Linked DNA regions of Drosophila melanogaster. The protein of the gene in region 1 interacts with the protein of each later gene in a biochemical or structural test. Each region holds a gene or a part of one and is shown on either strand. Other genes may lie near its edges.

Region 1 (5,999 bases):
AAAATTCCTACAAGTTTGCGAGACAAATAGCTCGTGATTTCCATACCCAAGCAATAATATATTGCTATCTATACGAAATTGTGGAATCAGTAATATTAACTAATTATTATTGCTTGAGTGCGGTATATGTAACTAGCACTTTACTTACCATCGTAGTTGCGAATCTCCAGATCGGCGGGCAGGCAGGCGTAGCTCAGGGAACTGACCGCTTTGTCGTTGGATCGGTGTCCATATTGTCGGTGGGCCTCATGGATTTCCGTGGCGCCGAACTTCTCTGTCAAGGCACGGACGCACTGTTTCTCTCCGGCGATGCAGGAAAGATGCAGAGCTGTGTTTCCATGACGATCGCGCACCGTGGGCTATTCAAATGAGTAATGGGAATCTTTTGTTACAAATATAAATACTTAAATTAGCTTTTGTTAGAAAATCAAGATGATATGACATTACATTCGTCAATAGGGGATTAAGCTAGATTTTACAAATATGCAAATATCTAAATCTTCTTATTCGATCTTTGTTGAATATTACCTCAGCTCCGGCGAGTAAAAGTATCCTCATGATGTTCGGCTGGGCAGTAAGAGCGGCCAGATGAAGGGGTGTCTGGGCCACATCGTTCTGGATGTTGAGCAGGCACGGATGAGGAGCCATGCGAATCAGGGCGGCCACCACGTCCACTGATCCCGAAATACAGGCCAGGTGCAAAGGTCTGAAATGAGAGAGAGAGAGCAAAAAAAACAACATGAATTTGTGGGTTTCTTTTACCTGGCGATCGAACACCCGCACTTTCTTTCCTTCCTGTACACTTGTCGCCGTTCATGTGGCGGCGTAAAAACCCAAGTAAGTTAAGTAGAGGTAAAGTAATGTGAAGAAAGAAGAGGTGCCCCGAAAAACCTGTTCCCGTACCTGCCCACATACCAGGAAAACCCCAAAGCCTGACTAAAACACATGTGTCAGTCGCGTTTCTCGCCTCAGACAATCGTCTTTGAGTGATTCACGAAACTCTCCCCTTAGCTCGCTTGGTGGTCATCAGTGCAACGCGGCGTTGTCTTTGTTATTTTGGGAAATTTTAGGATTCTCATCGGAAATACGGCACGTATAAGTTCATAGAAATTCGGAAATGATTCAAAGACTGTGCTTATAAATCTTTAATCGTGAATTGTCAATGAGTATGTTAAATTGATTTTTAAGAGCATGAAGACCTAAATTCTAATAAAGATTTTTTTTTGGCGATTGTGACAGTCTAAATATAATCAATCGTTTCCAATTTCAAAAAATACCGTCCAATTGTATAAAATATTTAAAATATAAAGTTCTTATGATTGCTAGTCTAAGAATAAGCATGGGAAAGTTTTTAAAGTGACCTAGAGATAAGGCGCTAAAATGTTTAAATCATACTTGGGAATTTCCCCACATTAAAAATACACATTCGAAGTTATCTATAAATGTGGTTTGCACATATATAAATAATTTGAAAGTCTAGAATAAAGTGACATTTCCTGAGATTCTATAATGTTTACTTACGTGTCGCCGTCGTCGTTTTGTTGATAGAACTGCTCCCAGGCGTTCATGATATTAATGCTGCTGGGCGGAGCGGATGATGTTGCTCCCGATCCCGAAGGATTCGCGTTCGCCGTGCTGGCTGTGGAGGATTGAACCTTGCTGCGACCGGTGATTTGGGTGCTGCTGCTCTGGCCGAGATTGTTAAGCTGTTCGCCGCGACTGACCAAATGGCTTTCGACGGTCCATTGTGGGATGCCTGTGTCCGCGCTGTGTTTGAGTCGCATTGAATCGGCGGTGGCAGTGGTGGTGTCCTGGTGCTCCTCCTCTTTCTCCTGCTCCTCCTGATCCTCTTCTTCGTCGATAATACCGGAATCGAGGACAACGGGCTGTTCCTTTTGGGGTGCCGACTCCTGCTGATCCTTATCCTGTTCCTCGCTATCGGGGACTATCTCCTCGCTGAAGATCTGCGAGGATTGCGGGCCGGAGATGAAGCCCGAATCACTGGTTTCGTTTGGCACGGCAAATTCCTTTTGCTTGTTAATGGCGGCCGTTTGATCTTGTGTTTTGCCGCCAATTTTACCGCTAGTGGCTAGTGAGGACGAGGGGTTAGCCGCGTTTGAGGGGGCGCGCTGCTCAACACTGGCAGCGCTGCAGCTGCAGTCACTTGTTGCTGTTGCCTTTGTTGCTGCCTCCGCTGCTTTTGTTGGGCTCGGCATTTTCGTGCTTTTCCTCTCTCAGTTGGGCTAAAATATATGTATATATGTTATATATATACTCCTGTCGTTTTGAACTTTGCTTTTGAGCCCAGTCTCTCAAACACACACACATACACACGCACAGTAAGCGCTCACCTCGGTGGTGCGAGTGAAACAAACATATAGGCTCCAGCGAACAAGTGAAAACGCAATAATTTTTGTAGATTAAAGGCAATTTATGGACTTATGTACAAGTGTAGCCGCAGAAAAATAAAAATTACGGTTTCACACTGGTTGAAAATTTTAGATTTTTCCATTTGCCAATGTCTTATTTGCCTCTTCACGGTTGTTTCACCCGCACACACCCACAATCACACTGAGGTAGATTTTTTATCTCCCTTTTCACACAGCTTCCTTTTCGCTTTTTATTTTCTGCACATGTTCTGGGTTTAAACCCCAGCACTATTTTCTATGGATTTCTCACTACCTTGCTGGTTAATTGTCTTGCGAAGCTGTCTTTAAAACGCGTATTTATGGTTTAAATGTTTGTAATCTGCAATTCGCATAGTACCCGGACGCACGTCTGCTTTCTTTCACGTTTCGATAGCGAATGAAATTGAGGGAGCGCGCTGATATGTATATATTTATATGGCAGTCTATACTATAAAGCCCCGTTTGCACTAAGAGTTATCACGAAATGAAGAGTCTCGATTTTAAATTTTCTTTACTTAGAAAACTGTTAATTGAAAAAAATCTATTTTTTCATATTTGCCCAAAAAAAATAAAATTCTAGACTTGAAAAGACCGAAGTGAAAACGTTTGCCTTAATATATCGACGATGGAGTGTGTAATCGGGGCTTAAATCAGTTTTACATGTGTGCGAGGGAGACCATAGGGTTGCCAGATAGTAGGGAGAGCGCCAAGTTAAAATCTCCCAACAACAAAATGAGCAGCTAAATGGTCAGCTGCAACAAAAGCAACCACAGCAGCGATGCGTTTATTTATACTTCTTACTCTCTGATTGTGTGATTGTTTAGTTCCTCGAGCGAAGCCACTTGATGTTGATGCTCGGCGTCCTACGGTTGAAATGCGTATGACGGCGAGGCGGACAAATATCTGGGAAATCACCCGCTGACCGAGAACGGAAATGAAATGCAGGATTCTTTCTTCGGTTTTTCACAGGTCAGCTTCGATTGAAACCTCGACCAATTCTGAATTTCATGGGATATTCTGAGCGACCGATTTGTCATACACTCTCCTTCTGGGATTTTTTAACACTCAATCACATTTTATCGCCAATTCATGAAATATTATATATACGATTATTTTGGTTTTTACAAGGTTGTATTGATTAAAAAATTATCTGAATCCAAGAAATTTAGAGGGGCTTTACAAGATTATCAGATTCTTACCATAAAACCTGTGTTTACGGTCACAAGTAGTTTCGAAAGTTTTTGCTCGCTTTTTTAATTTAAAATTTAAAATTCCGCCTCTCGTAGTTGTAAAGTTATTTATTATAACAAATAGGTTATTAAAAAATCGGACTTGTTTCCTAAAATTTTGATTAAATTGCTGGGAATTTGTAAATTACTCTTCAGTTTTAGGGGTTTGGTCATTTCCTTGTCGGGTTTTGCTTTTTGCTTTTGTATGACTTAATTAAATTATTCTTTAAAATTTAAATTCTTCGGCTTCCGATTGAATTTCTTGAATTATTATTTATCAGGCGTTCGTTTTTCTATTAAAAACAAGTGTTTGGTGCCAATCTGATAAATTTATTAAGGTATATAAACTTTTTAAATATTTTGTTAATTTCTAATTATTTGTTTGCTATAACATAAACTTTTATCGTTTTATTAAAACTGTTTTGCTATTCTCGTTATTATAAAATCCAAATATTCATTAAATGTTTTTCTAACAAAATTACGCAACAAAAATGTGACCTGCTAATAAAATTATAGTAGTGTTTTTTAATGTTTATTAATATTAACCAATTACTTTATCGCCCAATTTAAAAATTGCGGGTGATAACAGATGATTTTAAGAGCAGGTAAAACAACAAAAATTAAGTTGGCAGCACTTACCGGCCAATAAGTCAATTGCACAAAATCTTAAACGCAGGACCAGAAATATTTTGCAAAGGACGTCAAGGAATGCTGAGAAGGATGAACACTTTTAGTGGTCAAAAGCTGGCGGCTGTGGTCAAGGAGCTGGAGAACTTTGCTCCGACTTCTTGGGCAGAGAAGTGGGACAATGTGGGACTCCTGATCGAACCGCACCGCGAAAAACAAATCAAGAAAATACTATTAACTAACGATTTAACCGAGCCCGTAGTGAAAGAAGCGCTAGAGAAGGAGGCGGAGCTCATAATCAGCTATCATCCGCCAATTTTCAAGCCCCTGACCAGGATTACGCAGTCACATTGGAAGGAGCGCGTGGTGGCAGCATGCTTGGCCAACGATATAGCCTTGTACTCGCCCCACACGGCGTGGGATAAGAAGAGTGGTGGCGTCAACGACTGGCTATCTAAGGCAGTGAATATCATCAGCATCCGCCCTCTGGAACCGGAGTTGGGTGCTCCTCCGGGTACCGGATCCGGTAGATATATAGAAACCAAAATGGAGCTTTCCCAGGTGGTGGAGTCTCTGCAAAAGCGCATTAGAAACAGCGTGCACGTTGCTCTAGCTGTGGGCCACACCCCCAAGACACTCATCCAATCCGTCGGCATTTGTGCCGGCTCTGGAGCATCTCTGCTGAAGGGTATCCAAGCGGATCTTATCATTACCGGCGAAATGTCCCATCACGAAGTTCTGGAGTTTACTCACAACAATACCACCGTTCTTCTCTGCAATCATAGTAATTCAGAAAGGGGTTTTCTCCATGAGTTTTGCCCTATATTGGCCAAATCTTTAAATGAAGAATGCCTGGTATTTGTATCTGAAGTGGACAAGGATCCTCTGGTCACCGTGGCTAGCGATATAAACAAAGAACTAAGCGCATTTGTTGACGTCTACAAGAGCACATCAAAATAACTTTGATCTTATAAGCATTTTTTGTTTAACAATGCATTTTCTGGCGCATCCATAAAGGTTACAAATAAACTAAAGGATTTAACTTTCTTAACTTCTAGACTTGATCCAGCTTAAACTTGCCGCCCTTGCTGGCGGCGTCGTTTCGATTAAGTTGGTAGAGCAGGCGCTGCTCCAGATGTTTCACTGCAGCCACTGTCAGCACCAAAGTATCGTGCTTCAGCATAGAATAGACGTTCAAGCCAAAGGTTGGCATCAGGTTGACATAGCCCAGATCATCGCTAGCCTGGCAAATATTGGCGGGGAACATATGGTCTCTGAGAAAAACAGAATCAGTATCAATTTACATATTATATGTTCACCTACAAGCAGAACTCACTCGTCTACAATCAAAACAGAAGGTCCCCAATTCCGTTCGGCGATTAAATCCTTAAGGAACTCTGCATCTCCGGTGGGTATGTCCACATTATCGATGATGTGCAGATCATCCTGGGCCAGCTTAACACTCAGCGTGGAGGTCAATCCTAAAACCCTCTTATAGAAGGGCAGCATGTAAAAATGGGTCGTAGGCGACCTGGGTCCGTGCACTACGCCGCCGCCCTTCAGCATGGGCGAACGGAGGGAACCGTGGCGGGCACGACCACCTCCCTTTTGGGGCCACGGCTTCCGACCACCACCGCGCACCTCCGCTCGAGTTTTGGTGTGCGCCATGCTTACATAACGATACTTGCTCTGCCACTCCACATTCTCCTGTATGATGTCCACGCGCGGCTGGGCG
Region 2 (5,940 bases), 1.1 Mb from region 1:
TGCTATTTTTATTTTGTGTGCCGTGTTACTTGAAAAATCATAATGTATAAAACTAATTAAAAGGTAATTAATTCGGTTACATCTAGGTTGGCTTCGCTCATCACCACCCATTTGCAGTCAAAAGTTAAATTGTACAGCCAATCGATTTTCATTGCCTTTCAAGCAAATCAAAGGAAACATTTTTGCAGTCAAGTAAATAATGCCCGAGCACCCCAAAAACATTCCCAGAATGCCGAGCCAGACCACATCGCACCAGACCTCATTTACCCAAGCGTTGGAGCCATTTCCATTCTAATGGCCAAGACAAATCGTTCGTACGTACATTCGCTTTCAGCCAAGAAAAACGACCGACACGCGATGGCCGAAAATTGGAGGAAACCGCAGCATTTAATTATTTTGCTATAAAACTTTTCACGATTCAATCAATTCAGATTCGGTACAACATGGCGTATGCGTAATGGGATTCAGCTATATTTTTCCCCGCATTGTTTGTAAAATTGTGTGGTGGCGTGAATTGTTTGTAGAACTTGGGCTTTGGTTGGCGATGTAAATGTGAATGACAGATCATTTTAAAGTTTAGTTGGTTTTTGTTCATGCGGAAAATGAAAAGAAATATATATAAGGTATAGTACTCAATCTCACGCCGGGTTATCAGGGAGACTAGAATATAAAGCCCCGCTGGGATTTTCTTCTTGCTGATTAAAGTTCAAGTCTTATCAGTTAATTGAAATAAGTTCAAAGCAATTGCATTTGCTCTCTTGGGTTTTCCGAAAAAGTGTACAAGTATTCAATAAACTGATCAAGCTGAATTGACTCTTGAAAACAAACATAATTAGTATAAGTTTGTTATATTATTTTACAGTAAAAATAGTTTTGAATCGATTACTGGTGGGTGAAAATACTATAGCTTACATGAAGCTTCTCATTGTGTATTCTTTAAATTTTAATTTAAATTTTAATTTAAAGAATAAGTAATTCAAAGGTTTCTGATAATTCTTAGCAACATATATTTAACCAGCTCTATCCAGAGTTCATCGTTTTGACCGTTTCTCAATTGTTTACCAATTAGACTTGCACCCTACACACAAATGTGTGTACAGGCTGTGACCTTCCTTCTCCCGCTGGCATTTAATTTACAATAACTTTCAATTCGGAAACAAGTCTGCTTAATACAATTGGCAAAGTTATAGCTAGACTGCGACTTTATACTGTATGTAAGCAATCGCACACACATGGACCAAAAGGTGTGAAAAGTGCGGACTTTGTTTGTGTTTTATTTTCTACAATTACCGAAAACAATTCCGCTGCCGTTGGCATCATCGGTTCATCGCCCAATACAAGTTAGATAGCTGCTGGCTGGGAGCAGATAAATCGATATTTGAGTAAGTTTTGACCATGACTGTTCCATTTCATTCTATTTTTATGGATTCCGAAACGGCCAAATGGCCGAATGTTTTGCGTGCGGATAAGGCAAAAGTCTTAAAGACTTTATGCCATTTCGTGTCTTTCGATTGCAGTTTCAGTTCCACGGTTCAGGTTGTATATTCCTTTGATTACAAATGAAATAAACGAAATCTTCCAGATGCCACCGCAAATTTTTATAAACTTTTGCCGTGCCGATTTCAGTTGTAAAAATATTTACATTTTGTTAATATAAATATTTGCATTTGCTTCGATTTTTTTTTTTTTGACCATTGAATTCCTCTTCTTTTTGGCTCCTCTTGAGCAGATTTTCTTTCACATTTGGAAAGTTATTTAAAGACTAACTGAGTAGCTATATTCTTCCAATTTTTTATATCAACGCCTAAATTATTTCCAATACAACAGCTTGAAATGTGAAAACGTCACAAACAGCTTTGGCACTATAATTTTGAGATAAGAGTTATAATGTTTATAATTGCATACATTATTGCTCTTGGGAGGAAATGTCTACTCTAGGGTGCAGTTCCGGCATATGTTATGTGCAAATGTACAAATCTGAACCAGTATGTTAATGATTTTTCGTAGTCGACCAATAAAACAAGAAAGAAACACTGGGACTACTAGTAAATGTCGTACTGAGTGTTATTCTCTTTTAATAAATCGCAGTCAACCGCCTTTCTTGTTTTCATTTGCATATATTATACGCCTGTTGGGTTGCAAAACTGCAGTTACACTAGCAGAAATATATATTTGCTGATAAGCAAAAACATACCATATTTTAATAAATATTTACGAAGTATTGCACAAAGTCTATATTTAATGTATTGATATAGCTATGCCTATAATCTTTCGGGTGTTTAGGTTCAAATCAAACAGGAAGTAGATTAAAGAAGTCACAAAAATATTTAAAATATTTCCCGCATGGACAAAAAAAACAAAATAAAAATAATACACTAAAAATTAAAATTTTTTGTCGTTTTTTTTTGCGATTACGCAGTCTAGTGAACCCGGCCGTATTCCCGTTTTTCACTTCACTATTAATAAATACAAATTTCATTACACGTGGCATTAGATAAGTAATTGCCCGCATCGGAAAATTGTGTACTTATTTATGTATCTGGGATTAAAATTTATGAATTCCGCCGAGTTGCTGGCACGTAGTTTTTTGCAGTGCCATTGCAATCGAACCTGACACGGGAAGCTGTCTGTACCTAAGTTTCTAAAGCCGCCTTCTGGACCGGGGACTTTACAAACTACGCCTTAAGCTAGCTAGCTGACTATAGTTTCAGAAAATTTATTATAGCTAACCTTTTATGGTGTAGTAGGTAGGCTGCTTTAAATGCTTGATTAAATTTGGATTCTCGATCCGAATGCACTGGGTCAGACAGAAATCGAATTAGCTCTTTGTTGTGTTGACACGTGTAATTGATTAAATTTGTCTTTTATGATTGACTGGTTTTCGGTTTATGTGTCGGACTTATCGCGCGCGACTCACAAAAGGCGCGCCAAAAAAATTATGAAGAAATTGAAAACAAAAACAAAAGTTGCTCCCACAAGCGACGTTGTTGCTCCGCTCATGTATTTTACTTTTGAGTTTTGTTTAATTTTTGCTATTGACACTGCAGCCGCCTGTTTAGAGCGGACATTGATTTATACACACATCTGTAGTTTACGTTGTAGTTGTCGTGCTTCGTATAATTAACCAATACACTGGCAGCTATATAGTCGCGTGCGACTTGCACAATATGCGTTATATGTACATCTATATGTATATATATATGTATGGATATCTATGTGTGAACAAGTCGGCGCTTCACGTCCGTCGGCGGCCAAGTTCAGATTGAAACTGAGCGGTTCGCTTCACACTCGGCTGCAAGAGAGCTTCGGAATGGCTTCGATAGCTCAGGCTCCATTCTCAGCTGTTCGCTCTCTGCGATCGCATGCATTCGGTTCGTATACTTGATACGTATACGTGATACGTATACGTGATAAAAAGTTACCGCTGCTGATATGATGGTTGCTGATCGCAACTGACGGAGGGTGCCAATATCTGTTTTTATTTTCGAAACTGCTTCACTTTTCCTTTATTTATTTTCATTTCCGTTGTGCGTACTCAATGTTTCGTTCTCTCTAATGTATTTGTGTTCAAGTGCGTTCCTATGACGCCATCGAGCAGAAAAAATGGTTATAGATTTTTAAGTGGATTTGGAAAAGTGTTGAGATTTTTATAACGCTCTGCAGGTGTTCCAATTTCGATTTTCGGCTATAAGTAAACATTGATTCCCTTACAAAAAAATGTGTACTTTTTGCTGGGAATGAAAATTTATTGTTATGAATGGTTTGGAAATATCATAAAAATTCAAAATACCTAAGATGTTATTTCACATGAACTCTTTTCTCATTAAAAATTCGTTTAAAATAGTGCACAGGTTTCTGGACAAATCAAGATCAAAGGTTTATTATAAGATCAGATAGGAGGAAAAGTTTTTCTTTATGTGAATCATTCGCCATTCTGGAATGAGAAGCCGAAAAAAATCGACAACTATTAGCCAGATGCATAACAATAGATCTATTTATCTAATATAGGTATGACAGCTGAATGTTTTTATTGATTTTCCCAGGAATTGACAGACCTGAAACGAGTTCGACCCTCGGCAAATGTAAATTATAAAATCCATACAACGTTGCTAATTCACGCCAACAAAATTCCCAAATGAGACCGAAAAAAGATTCGCCAACGTCTAAGGTCGAACTGAGTTATTAACTCAATTTTTGGCTTCTGTTCCATAGACAGATTTTAGTCATTGAAATAAACACAAGTGCAGACCAAACACGTAGGGGAAAAATATTTGCAGTTAACATTGCCAATCGGGTGGAAATATTTCATTATTGTTGTGCATGAATGAAAATAGTATAATTTATTTCTGCTAGCCCACGAAAATTTCGAACTAAAAACACAGTTTTCATGTAGCGTGGGCTCGTCTGCGGACAAAATGCATTTTGGGAGCAAATTTCCCGGCCGCAATTTACATCTATATAGGATTGCAACAAAGCCAAGAATACCTCAGGACGTGCAAAAATAAACTAAACTATTTCAGCTCTGGGGTTTGAGAAATTTTAAGTTAGGAAAACAGATATTTATTTATTTAGCAATTTATTGAGCAAATATGAATATTTAGATATAGATGAAAATATAGTACGACAATTTGTATAACTTTTTGAACATGTTATTATCAAATTTACAATTGTAATCCACACTTTTATTCTATTATTTTAAAATTTCTTGCTCTTTATGGCTAGGGATCACTGTAGAAGGATTTTAGTTGCGATTGTGCTTTTAGCCATACATGTATGACAAATGCCCCATGACGTAGTAGCCACTTTCAGTAAACATATCAGACGTCACAGAAATCTCCAACTCTTTATTAAGCTCCCCGAAGAAGAAGAGAAGAAAAAAAGGGGGAGAAGTCAAAGACTCTACCCCCGCCCAAACAACTCCCCCTGCAATTCTGGCACATTTGCGCTTCAAGGTCACGCGCGTGAGCGGGAACGAGAGGGAGAGAGAGAGCGAGGAAGAGAGAATGCAGAAAAACAAAGCCAAGCCCCAAAGAAATCGTGGAAGGGGGTGGAAGGGGGCGAAGGGGGCTTGACGGCGGAGCGCATAGTTGAGCAACCACTTGTTGTTGCTGCCGCTTTTATTGCTCCTCTTCAGCCAGCGCCAGTTTAAGGCCACCAAATATGCACTGGGAGAAACAAATAGCACATACATCTTAACAAAAAACACTTAAAGATTATAGATTTCTGGATATTAAATGGCCTATTGAATTAAGTGACAAATAATATCTAAAGTGGATTTTGTTGCATTTGTTGGTTTAGTATTTTATTAAAATATTAATTTTAACATTTTCTTTAAAGGCATATTTTATCAGATGCCTGAAGCATGTAAATTTAAAAAAAATAATTTATTATAAGGTGAATAGTGTTAAAAAATGCGAAATAGAAAACAGATCTACAGCTTTTTCACAGTGATTGAATTAAGTCGAAAGGTCTGCGCCGCCCTCAAAAGAGGTAAAGAAACAAAGCGCGTAGTGCATTAACATTCAAGACATTCGGCTGACGAATAATGGTGATAAGCAAAGGAAGGGGACGAAGGGGAGCCGTATCAATAACACGAACAGCCAAGTTACCGACGAACTCGAAATGTTTGAGTAGCAGAAAAGCCATGATACAAAAAAATGACTCAGCCTAGTTCAGCGAATTCAAATGCTCTTCTGCAGTCAATATATACTTGCTAAATTGCACTAAATTCTATAATGACGAGTTATATATTTGATAAGGTACTTTGATATATATATAAAGCAAACAAACAAAAGCGAATAAAAGAGAGGTAGATTTAATTGCTAGAAATGTATATCTACGGTCAGTAATAAGACACTTAATTAAAGTGTAATTTCCTTTTCTAAAACCCACTATTTTGAAAAGCTTGGCGGAAAGAAAACACTCTACGAATTGGCAAAA
Region 3 (5,311 bases), on another chromosome or scaffold:
AGTTCCGCTTGTTCACCGAGTAGTTGGTCAGGTGCATGTACAGATCGTTGGCGTTTCCGGGCGTGGGCTCCACGTACTTGTTCGTAGCAAATCTGGCCAATCCCTCGTTGTACACGAAGATGCGCAGGGGATCCACGGAGGTAATCAAGGTGTACACACGCAGATCGAACTTGTACCCATCGATGAGCAGGGGCTGGAAAAGTGGATGCGATGGTTAGCCAGCGTATGGGATTCCGGATGAACAGCGGATACATTACCCTGTGTATGTACGTCTGGCAGATGAGGCGCTCATGTGGACCTATGGTCTTCAGGTCGTTTGTCAGCCAGATGCCACGACCCTGGGCACCAGAATCCGGTTTCAGGATGAACGTGCGTTTGTGGTTGAGCGCGTAGTTCATGGCATCTCCATAGCTGAAATCGTTGGTATCAATGATTAGCACTTTCAGTGTGAGGCTGGGGTTTACTTACTCCGCCGGCAGCATCCAGGTCTTGGGAAAGATCTTGTAGTCCTGTGGAAAGATCTTTAGCATTCGATTTAGATTCCGCGAGAGCAGATCCTTGCGACAGATCTCGATCATGCCCGGAAAGTGATTGATCTGCTGGAAGCGCTTCATGTTCTTGAACAGCTCTACGCCGGGAAACGAATCCGACCAGAGGATGTTCCACATCTTGGACTCCTTAACCAACTTGTAGCCCAGCGTCTTGGAGATCTTCCCAATCATGGCGTAGCGCGAGTTGGACACGCAGATGGTACTCTTGGTTTCGCTGGGGGATTATGTTAGATGCGTTATCCAATAAGGATCCAAAGCTAAGGAAGATCACCTGGCTGGCCGCTCCTCGTCGACGTTCATGGGAGGATTGAGCACCCGAGTGGGGCATTCCACTCGGTAGGTCTTGTTGTTCAGTTGAATGAATCCCTGCAGCTTGGCTTCCTCAGCAGGCATTGGGCTGTTTTCACCAGAAGATGGTCCGTAATATGGGGAGTTATCATCCACTTGCTTGTCGGCGGCTGTCCTCCTCTTGAGGCACCGGGTCTTCTTCATCCGGCGGCGTGGGGACATGGGCTGCAGTGGCGGTGATTGCTCCGGACTGAACCATTCCCGGTCCAAGCACGGCTGCTCATTAAGAGCCATGTCCAGGGCGCGAACAACGTGGGTCCTCTTTTCGCGATCCTTCCGTATTTTCTCCTTGGAGAAGTGGCGCAGCTCCTGAATCCTCTTGAAAAACTTGGAATTTTTTAAATTCATTGTCTCGTCCGCTGGTCGTCCTTGATTAAAAATTGAAAATTTTTCACGTGCTAAAAGCTATATCTATAAAATTGATTCGTGTCAATGGTTAGAGCCGGAATTCTGCGTCACGAATAAAAACAATATTATTTTGCGATGATTGTGTTGTGAAAATGAAAATAATTATAACCGAAATGACGCTAAAATCAAAACGTAGCTCCACTGGCCACGTCGCTTGAGTCGTTTGAGTTTTAAATCATCGATTTGGGGCATATCATAAATTTAGTTTCTCCGAACATCAAACATACCACTAACAACTAAGTGTACAAAAATATTTAATAAACAATAGGGTAAGCATTTACAATTTAAGCATAACAATAAGTCTTTAGGGAAATTTTCGTTGGAATGTTAAAGTTAAAAATATATATTGCGATTGATCACAAAATGTGGAAATGGTTTACAAATGGTCCTTCGAGCTTTTCAAGTTCGTCAATAAAATGGTAACATAATAAGGCCCATCTAGTCGGTAACAAACGGTTCGAAACGCTTGAGCACCGCGTTCATGGATGGGCGATCCTGCGGATCCAGGGCAGTACAGTGCAAGCCCGCCTCGATGGCGCACATGCACATGTCCAGCTCCTTGCCCATCGGTGCTGCTAAGTGCTTCTCTAGCAGCTCCATCCGGTTTTGCCGCCACTGCTGCTTAACGTAGTCCAGCAAATTCTTCTTCGTCTCGTTTTCCGGCACGCGATCCGTCACCTGACGACCCGTGAACACCTCCAACAGCACAATGCCGAAGCTGTAGACGTCCACGCCCGTGCTGAGTTGTCTGAAGTTGCGGAACTCCGGTGGCAGGTAGATCTTAGTGCCGAAAACTTTATTCACTTCCACCACAGCGTCCAAGGACTTGGGACCCTCGCGCACCAGACCGAAGTCTCCGATTTTTGGCTGCAGACATTGGTCCAGCAGGATGTTGGCCGGCTTAATATCTCCATGAATCAGCGGTGTGCCTCGCGCCGTGTGCAGAAAGTAGATGCCTCTTTTGGAAACGAAATGAAAAGTTAAAGAAGATTGATAGCACTAAAGAAACGATAAATCCCACCTAGCCGTGCCGAGGCTGATGCTAAACCGCTGCTGCCAGGTGAGTGCTGGTAGTGGGTTTTGTGCCTTATGCGCTCGTAAACGAGCCTCCAGGGAGCCGCCCTTCATCAGCTGGTAGACGAGGCACGGCTTACCACCTTTGATGCTGTATCCGTAGAGGGCCAGGATATTGTCGTGCCGGATGCTGTTTAAATACTTGAGTTCGTTGTAGCTCTGCTGCAGCTCCACCATTTTCTGGTCGATGTTGGGACTGCGGTAGTTCATCACCTTGATGGCCACGTCCAGTTGCTTCCATTTGCCGCGGTACACGTCTCCGAATCCGCCCTGTCCCAGTCGATTATCCGGACTCCAGCCGTCCGTGGCGTTTTCTAGCTCCGCATAATCGATCTCCAGCAAGGATTCGGCTGCCCGCTGTACGGTGCTAATGTGTATATTGCCCAGGGACTCCAGGCTGGGTATCTCCTCCGTTGCCGTTGTGCTGGTGCGATTGTTGTTTGAGTTGCTGACGCCCGAGGAGGAGGGAAACGGCGGGCCGTTGTTTACTTTGGCACTGGAATCGGGAGCAGCGCGCAGCTCGCTGATGGTGGGCACGCTCCTCGGTATGTACTTGTGCAGATCCTCGCTAACGTAATCTTTGATCAGACGCATGGCGTTATGAAGCTTCAATCTAAAGTAAGAGGAGTCATTTCTGGGATCTCGGCGGTTATTATCTCAAACTGACTCACTTTTTGAACAAAGCAAACAATGTTTGCACCGTGTGATTGTACTGACCGCCCCAAATGTTGAGGAACTCATTGGAGGCTGAGCGGCCACGCTGCTTCTGGCTGCTTATCTGCTCCACCTGGTCGGGATAGAGTTTTACGGCCGTGGCCAGCTGTTGCCATACGTCTAGGGCATCCAAGTGGGCACATAGCTGGGCTCGCACGGGCAACGGCAGCAGTCGGATGGCCATTGTGTTGTCCAAGTGGGAACGCGACCTGGTCCTGTTGCCATTCGCTTGGTTTTGGGCCTGCGCCTCGGCTTCGGCGGTCTGGACGCCACTCATCTTTCACTTATGGGCGGGCGGTTCAACCGGTTGCGACTGATTCATGCGGCTCCGGATGCAAGAGTGCCCGTTGGATGAGGGGTTGGCGGCGCTGGTAACCTGTTGCAGCGAAACGAAAATCGCTTTTGGGTAAATTCCCAACGCGATTCGATGAAAACCTGTGGATGACTTGTTAACAGCGGCGCAACAAGTGATAAAGCAGCTTAACAGAGCGAAGCAGTCTGGCAACGCTGCCAATGTCTAGCAAATAATACACTCGAAAAAGTGGTAGATGCTTAGGAGCCACTGTTTAAAATTCAGAAGTAAAAAGAAAGCAGAGTAATTATTAAAAAGGTATTTGCTGTATGAAAATATTAAATAGATTTTAAATAACCTCCACATATTTTATGTAATTTGCACAGTATTTTGTATACTAAAATATCTTAAAAAATACCAAAGGCAATTAGTGTATGACCAAATGAGCCTTGCAGTTTGGCGGACATGCGTCGTTTTCAAGTGCCCCGCAGGTGGCCACACTGCTGACACCGTCACGAACGCATCGCTATCGCTAATTCTTCGCTTCGCCCATTTATAATTCAGCAAATACGTCAATTAGCCCCACCAGCGAACGGAAAAGCCTCAAGCTGGCGGAGAAAAAGGTCCAAATGGCGCTATGCCAGACATCGGTGGTGAGTGTGCGGCTGGATCCCCGAGATCCGGTAATTGTGTCAGCGGCGGTGGCTCCATTGCATTCGACATATGGAAGGCATCCTACCAAGGAGTTTCTCCATTTCCTCCAGCTTCACCTCCTTCCGCCGCCCACGCGGGAAAGTGAAAGCTTTCCCAGTGGTCATGGTAGTTACTACAAAACGATAGTTACAACTGCTGAAATCCGAGATACCAAAACTGCAAACCTCTCGGGTGTGGATGTGTGTGCATGCGAGTGCGTGTCTGTCTGGATGTCGCTGTGTTAGTGCGTTCGTTGCCTTGCAGTTTTGTATGTTTCTTGCCCTCTGGATTTTCCGATTTTCGGCTTTTCCGCGTAGTACTTCAAACTCCCATGGGGGGTTATATTTAGCAGTAATACACGCTGCGTAGCTTGTGCTATTATCTACAAGTCGGGGCCTCCTTCCTTATCGTCCGCTGATAACGCAAAACAAACTATTAATAAAACAAGCAACTGGCATACCGGTGTATATATATGTACAATGTACATATATATATATACCAGCATATGCATGGTATCTATGTACATATGTGCACTGCGACATTCTTCGCAAACAAATAATTTACATACTTTATTTGCGTTTTGCATATTCACATTACAGCTGCGTCTGAATTTTAATGGGAGCTCAAAAAGGCTCACCACATACTGTGCGCCACATTTTCAACTTCTATAGCGTCTTGCCCTTTACTTGCTTCGTGGATTTTTTGCGCAATCCCTATTGTTTTACCCCCAACTGTTTAGGCCCTAATAGCGTGAAGTTGAGCCGCGATAATATAATGAGTGTTTAAGTCAACACAAGCCCAGATTTGTCGTGCATTTCAAATTTAATTATACACAATTAACCGCATCCCCTCTCGCCCGCAGCTGAAGGTGTACCATGCCGTGATCGAGGACGTCATCACAAATGTGCGGGACGCGTTCCTGGACGAGGGCGTCGACGAACAGGTGCTGCAGGAGATGAAGCAGGTCTGGCGCAACAAGTTGCTTGCTAGCAAGGCCGTCGAGCTGAGCCCGGACTCCGGCGATGGCTCCCATCCGCCACCCATCGTGGCCAACAATCCAAAGGTAAGCGAAACGGAGCCCTTGGGTGGATATTCTCATCGCGAATCCTTGTGTCTGTCTAACTTAACGTAGAAGTCCATACAAATTGTGATATCTTCATCCCAAAAAAAATTTCCAACTAAGATATCTTGCTTTATCTTTCTTATGCTCCACCACTTGAACCACTACAAT
Region 4 (5,585 bases), 1.1 Mb from region 1:
AACTGAACGAGAATAGGTCAGTTACCCTGAAAATTAAATCTAATATTTTGAGGATATCAAAATACTGGAAATTCCCATAGTTTCAATCGATTAACCAATTTAATATGTCATTCAAAGGCTAACAAGAATTATACTGCCACCGAATTTAATTGCAATACACTATTTACGATGGTTTCATCCGCAGCTATATTGAGATTAGAACCATTTGCAACCACACAAATTTGCCACCGTTTATTCCCGTCAGATAGAACCTGCGGCATTCAGACTGATAACGCTCAGGTGTTGAGCGTAGAAAATCCGAAAAAAAAACTCAAAGATAACCAAAAGTAAGATAAGAATATAAAAATAAATCTAAATGACGATGGCCTGAGAATGTATCGATAGATGGTTTTTGGTTTAAGTGTTTTGCAGGGGAGTTATATTGGAATTTCCTATGGTTTTGCCCTTCGTTTGCTCAAAACAATAAATAATTTATTTGATTAGCTATTAATTTTCACCATGTCTTGCAAAAATCCACACGATAAATTCAAAAGAAAAAAGTCTATGCTGTTAAGCCATAAAATGAATTAATAAAATAACGTTCTACTCGTTCAACGATAACTACTTTTGGCGAAAAATAAAAAAAAAAGGTAAGTAAACAAAATAAAATGAACATTTCGTTTCGATCATTTAACATGCTAATTTTATGCAATTTCCAATAGCAAAGACACACAGAAAAAAGTTCTTTTGGCGCCAGCACCACAAATTAAGATTAAGATCAACATCAAAGCATCAGAAGCAGCCAAAAATTCCTCAGTGAAACGGGTTCCGCAAAAAAAAAAAAAACAAGAACTCCAGACAGACAAATGTTTTTTAACGATCGTTGGCGTCAAGCAATTTACAGCTCAAATAAAAATAAATAACCGATATGCTGACAAATCGATGGAACTAGTTGCCAAAAGCTATGTTTTGTATCGTATGAATACAAGTCCATTATCCTTATTTTCCACACCAAACAATGTTTGTTAAATTAGCCGATCAGGGATTATTGTGCACATGTGACTTCCGGCAAAAATGCAGATACATATCTTATCCGTATCTCCAATTATAACGGCCACGATCTTTCTTATCGAGTGGTTTAAATGATATTCGCCTAAAATAGAATCCCTATTGATTGATGATTTGCATAGCGGAGGGCCTTACCCACAGCCAGATCGTGTATCAATCATGACTCGGATTTAGCATACGGGGAAACTACCAGTAGATATAACCAATATTATCTATTGACTTGGCCTTAGATCTCTGTTAGCACACAAATCTCTACTCGAGCTTTGTAAATCGCCGATGACTTGCTGGAAACGAGTTGAGCGATTTTAGCGCTTTGATTTTCTTTGGTCCCGGAGACGAGAGTCTGATGTTATGAGTCAGCACACGGTTTGCATTTAACTTGGTTGCACTTTTCGAGTTTACACCGTATTAGCAGCTAAAAGCATTTCTTCATTCTTCATAATTACCTGCGAATCAAACCAAGAACCAGTGAACACTCATGACGAATTCGGTTTCACTTTTTGCTTTTATTTGGGCCACAAAACGCACACTAACCGCAGTTTGTTCTTTCAAAATGGTACTTTTCAAATTATTACTTAAAAATAATATCGAACCGTTAGGGAATTTTAAAAATATTTAATAAAAATAAAAGAATGTTAGCGCAAACACGACCGCAGGCGCATCGAGTCGATCTTAGAATGAAACAATTGAAAACCTCTCCGGCGTATTTGAGTGGCAGCAAAAAATAAATAAATACAAGGGGCAAAAGCTTTTCCACGAGCCCCACCCCCTCTGGGCCCCACGGCCCCCCTCGCCCACCCACGTGCCCGTAAGAAACTTTCATTTATGGCGACGTCGAAAAGCCACTGCGACTGCGCTGCCATGTACACAGGTGTTTCGGTTGTATTATTTAAGTTTATCGTTTGCATTCACCGTAGATTATTTAATACGCAGGTGGATAATTGCCACCCAAAAAACACAACAACAACAACTGCGGTTACACTACAAAGGATTGAATACGTTCTAATAGTTTTTTTTTAACATCTTAACTATTATTTGTCATGCAGAAATTGTGAGCTATTACAAATCTTAGCATCCAGGAATTTTAAACATTGTCAAAATGTTAAAACTATTTAGGATGAAAAATATTAATATGCGAGAAAAGTGACCAGTCTTGGTTTATCAAACCTTAAAAGTGTGAATAATGGTTGATAAATCACGATGTTGTTGCTGTAAACATTGTTCCGAAACGATAAGGCGTCCAATGACTCAATAAGGTTATATTTTTAATATGTTTAATGCAAGATGCGTTTCTTTGTAATGACATTTTGCGTCTTTGGAAGCAATAGTTGTGTACATATTTATTAAAATATCAAGACCCTTCTCGCAAAACGCAGCCATTAGGATTTTCCACCGCACTTTATTAATCCGTGCAATCAATGTTCAGAATCAATAAATTAAGCTAGGCTCTATAGGGGGACTCACCTAAGTCAAGGAGTGATCTGAAATCTCGCTTATATGCATTGATATCACTGGGTTTGCTAAGTAAATCGGACACCTGAAATTCAACGCGAACCAATTAGTACACTTTTATGTACATTATTTGTTAAGTTTCTTATTGTGTTAATTGGAAAATTAGTCCGTTGCACAGCGAGCTAAATAAGCCATTTATTTATAGTTGAGAAATATGGCGCTTTTTTCATGTTAATGTTAACACATACACAAGCACGCACGGCAGGAACCGGTTTATTTATTATTTTTTATATATAAATAATTTATTCTTCCCTCCCTTTCTCACTCACTCTCTCTCTCTCTCTCTTTCTGATTCTTCTTATTTTATTCTTTTTTAACTTTTGCGCGCGCACAAAGCGGGTGCGATAATATCGATAATAACGACAAAAACAACGGATGGGGGAGAACAGTTCGAACAGAAACTAATGAAAAGTTAAGAAATCGAAGTCCGAAGAAAGAGAGAGTGGGCAAAGAGCGCGAGAGAGCGCGTGACGTCGATTTTTTCTAGGGAATTCCGGGCTTTATGCTTATGCGATCATCGACGTACGACTACCTTTTGTTTTTGTTTTTCGATTTATTCGATTTATAATTTAGGGTAATTTGTTATCGCGCTCTGCCCTCCATTTTCTTTGGTTATTCTTGCGATGTTTGTGGTTAAAGTGTCGATGTGCCGTGTAATCTAATCGGTAAACGTTCAGTTTTAATAGAAATTATCAATACGTGCGCCGAGTTTTTTATTTTTGTTTTTTCCTCCGTTATATTGGTGGGTCTCTTTTTTTTGTCACTCGTAATACGAAAAAGCAAGTGAAACTTGCTTAGAGCTCAATTGAATTTATGCGTTTTTATGCAGCTCTTTTACTTTTCGTTTTATTTTTATCTACTGGTATTTCAACCTGCCTTCGAGCTCCAGAAGAGCGAAAGAGAGCGGAAGCTTAAAGCACAGCGAAAAAGGTAAATAAGGCACAATTTGGAGGTGGAGATAAAATACCCGTAACACACGCACTACCAACCGATCTCGACGCCCGCGATTTGAACACTAACTGCCCACCAAGAAGAAACAGGCGAGCCAAACTTTCAATACCGTATGCGCCACTGAAAAATACCGCAAAACTTGCAGATCGCGAAGCTTTCAACGGAGTTAAGTAGTCGGCCCCAAGCTCTGCTCTTTGCAGTCTCGACTTAAGCTCAGAAGAGAGACAATCCGAAGAGCCTAGCTTGGCGAAGAGTGCGAGATCAGCATGTGCTGAGTCACGTACGATTGAAGTTTTCCACTTGCGACTTATAGCTTACAGATGTCCACATCTTCCACAAATCCGAGTTTCGAGGAATACGCGATGATTGCATAAAGGCGAAACAATATATACATACATATAATATAAATGTTTTTATCTGACTGATACCGATTAGTAGGAATGCAGGCCAGTTGTTTCTTTCAAAAGCTTTTAAAATGTGTCACCTTTTAAATCTATAACACGTATTATATTGAAGGAATACCTAATTAATTGAAAATGCATATCTTTTTATTAGGAGCATCCCAAAGGAATCGGAAAATATAAATATTTTGTTTTTCTTAAATATTGAGAATTCAACTGTATGGTAACCAATCATCAAGAATTCGATTTTCAATGTGAGATTCGTTTAAATAGCCGAATATTCCAACTATATATGCATATTTACGAAAAGTAAAATATAAATGGAAAAAATAACTTCCGTCATTTATCTCAGTGTCTTTCACATGTGACTCATCTCCACGAGCGACTGCCTCCGAAAAGCTTTTTCAGCTTTTATGAATGAAACAGCACGGTGAGCACTAACTATCTGTGTGTGTGGCTGCGAGCTATCCATTTAAGACCCCACTCCCACCCATGCGGTTGGGGGGTCTGAATCAGCGTACGATTCCTGGAAAAAGGATAATATCCTGCGCCGGCATTTGTTGTGGCATTAATTTCCACTGCGGCAGAGTCTCAATGCCGTGACTCACTTGCTTCGTGCTCAGCATTCCGGAGCAGCTTTCACTTTCCGGGCGGAGGACCTCTGACATTCAAGACGGCTTGTTACGCGGAATTTGATAATATTGCTGATTCACCTTCTGGGGAAATGGGGGTCAGTACAGTTGATAATTGAATACATCGCTTAAAAAGTGGTCGCACGTTAGATAAGGATTTTTATGTTTTGGGTTTTTCAGCTAATTAAACCAAATTATTAAATATGAACGATGAATAGAAAATATAATTGTCACATTATTTGGAAAACGAAATATTATCAGTTTGAAATACATGCGAAAGAACCAGGTAGTATTTTTATAATTTCATGACAAAATTACAAATAAGTACTAAATGTTCCTATTTTATTACTGTGAAAAATTTATAAGTAAATAAGAATAAAAATAATATTAATTAAAGTTGGATGGTCGGTGACACAAAATCCACATGCTTAAGTTCTTCCCAATACTACGTACATATGCATAAAAAAGGACTTTCCGCCATTATCGTAAATCGTTATCAAAACCACACTGGCACGAAGGTCATGCCACCTGGTAAACATACATACATACATAAGTGCACGTGAGCTAAGCGCAAATAAATAGGAATTATGTCAAATGTTAGTATTGAAATTCCACATCAATTGCCATCGCCGCCCGTGGAATTGGAGTGGGGGAATTGCGGGACTAAGTCAACTCGCAATGTCTTGATGGCACGAACGTAGAACAACAACCCGGTTAATGGAGTCCAGACATCGATCAAACAATGGTGAATGGAGAAGCTCCCACTCCCACAAGGCCGGCAACCAATTGCAGCGGGTTTTCCACGAAAATCACGCGATATTCGTCCAGTCCCGCGAGGTAATTTTTAATGGATCCTGCCCCCTTATAAGCTGACACGTGCTGGGGCAGTCATTTTCATGTACATACACATATGTACATTTGCACCCCGTGTATACGACATTATTGATTTTTTCCGGTTGTCGGACTTTCGCCTTAAACTCTTTGAACTTCCTGTGGCACGTGTCCTTGACAGCGGTGGGGCAACTAACCCAACAATGTTGTC

What was found.
Region 2: the proteins of cact (region 1) and Dif form a complex in vitro, tested with the Drosophila melanogaster proteins (one study listed by BioGRID).
Region 3: of the proteins of cact (region 1) and pll, one has a biochemical effect on the other in vitro, tested with the Drosophila melanogaster proteins (one study listed by BioGRID).
Region 4: the proteins of cact (region 1) and dl form a complex in vitro, tested with the Drosophila melanogaster proteins (2 studies listed by BioGRID).

What each region holds. Positions count from the first base shown.
Region 1 is NT_033779.5:16,322,812-16,328,810, forward strand, and holds the start of cact (cactus), read right to left. Parts: upstream 3,397-5,999; 5' UTR 3,210-3,396; intron 2,815-3,209; exon of another isoform or gene 2,683-2,814; intron 2,610-2,682; exon of another isoform or gene 2,244-2,609; 5' UTR 2,217-2,243; coding exon 1,522-2,216; intron 707-1,521; coding exon 529-706; intron 360-528; coding exon 149-359; intron 1-148. Other genes in the region: CG4278 (uncharacterized protein), read left to right, coding at 4,346-5,224; mRpL4 (mitochondrial ribosomal protein L4), read right to left, coding at 5,319-5,538, 5,601-5,999. UniProt on the Drosophila melanogaster protein: Involved in the formation of the dorsoventral pattern. It inhibits nuclear translocation of the dorsal morphogen in the dorsal region of the embryo. Acts as a negative regulator of the NF-kappa-B (rel) signaling pathway.
Region 2 is NT_033779.5:17,424,926-17,430,865, forward strand, and holds the start of Dif (Dorsal-related immunity factor), read right to left. Parts: upstream 3,275-5,940; 5' UTR 2,731-3,274; intron 1-2,730.
Region 3 is NT_033777.3:27,249,586-27,254,896, forward strand, and holds pll (pelle), read right to left. Parts: upstream 3,598-5,311; 5' UTR 3,373-3,597; coding exon 3,053-3,372; intron 2,995-3,052; coding exon 2,329-2,994; intron 2,266-2,328; coding exon 1,746-2,265; 3' UTR 1,546-1,745; downstream 1-1,545. Other genes in the region: TTLL6B (tubulin tyrosine ligase-like 6B), read right to left, coding at 1-193, 258-411, 469-765, 823-1,247; TfIIA-L (transcription factor IIA L), read left to right, coding at 4,017-4,040, 4,943-5,143. UniProt on the Drosophila melanogaster protein: Plays an essential role in the Tl receptor signaling pathway that establishes embryonic dorsoventral polarity; the signal directs import of dl into ventral and ventrolateral nuclei, thereby establishing dorsoventral polarity.
Region 4 is NT_033779.5:17,446,785-17,452,369, forward strand, and holds the start of dl (dorsal), read right to left. Parts: upstream 3,581-5,585; 5' UTR 3,092-3,580; intron 2,585-3,091; 5' UTR 2,512-2,584; intron 1,727-2,511; exon of another isoform or gene 1,494-1,726; intron 1-1,493. UniProt on the Drosophila melanogaster protein: Embryonic developmental transcription factor. The lateral or ventral identity of a cell depends upon the concentration of this protein in its nucleus during the blastoderm stage.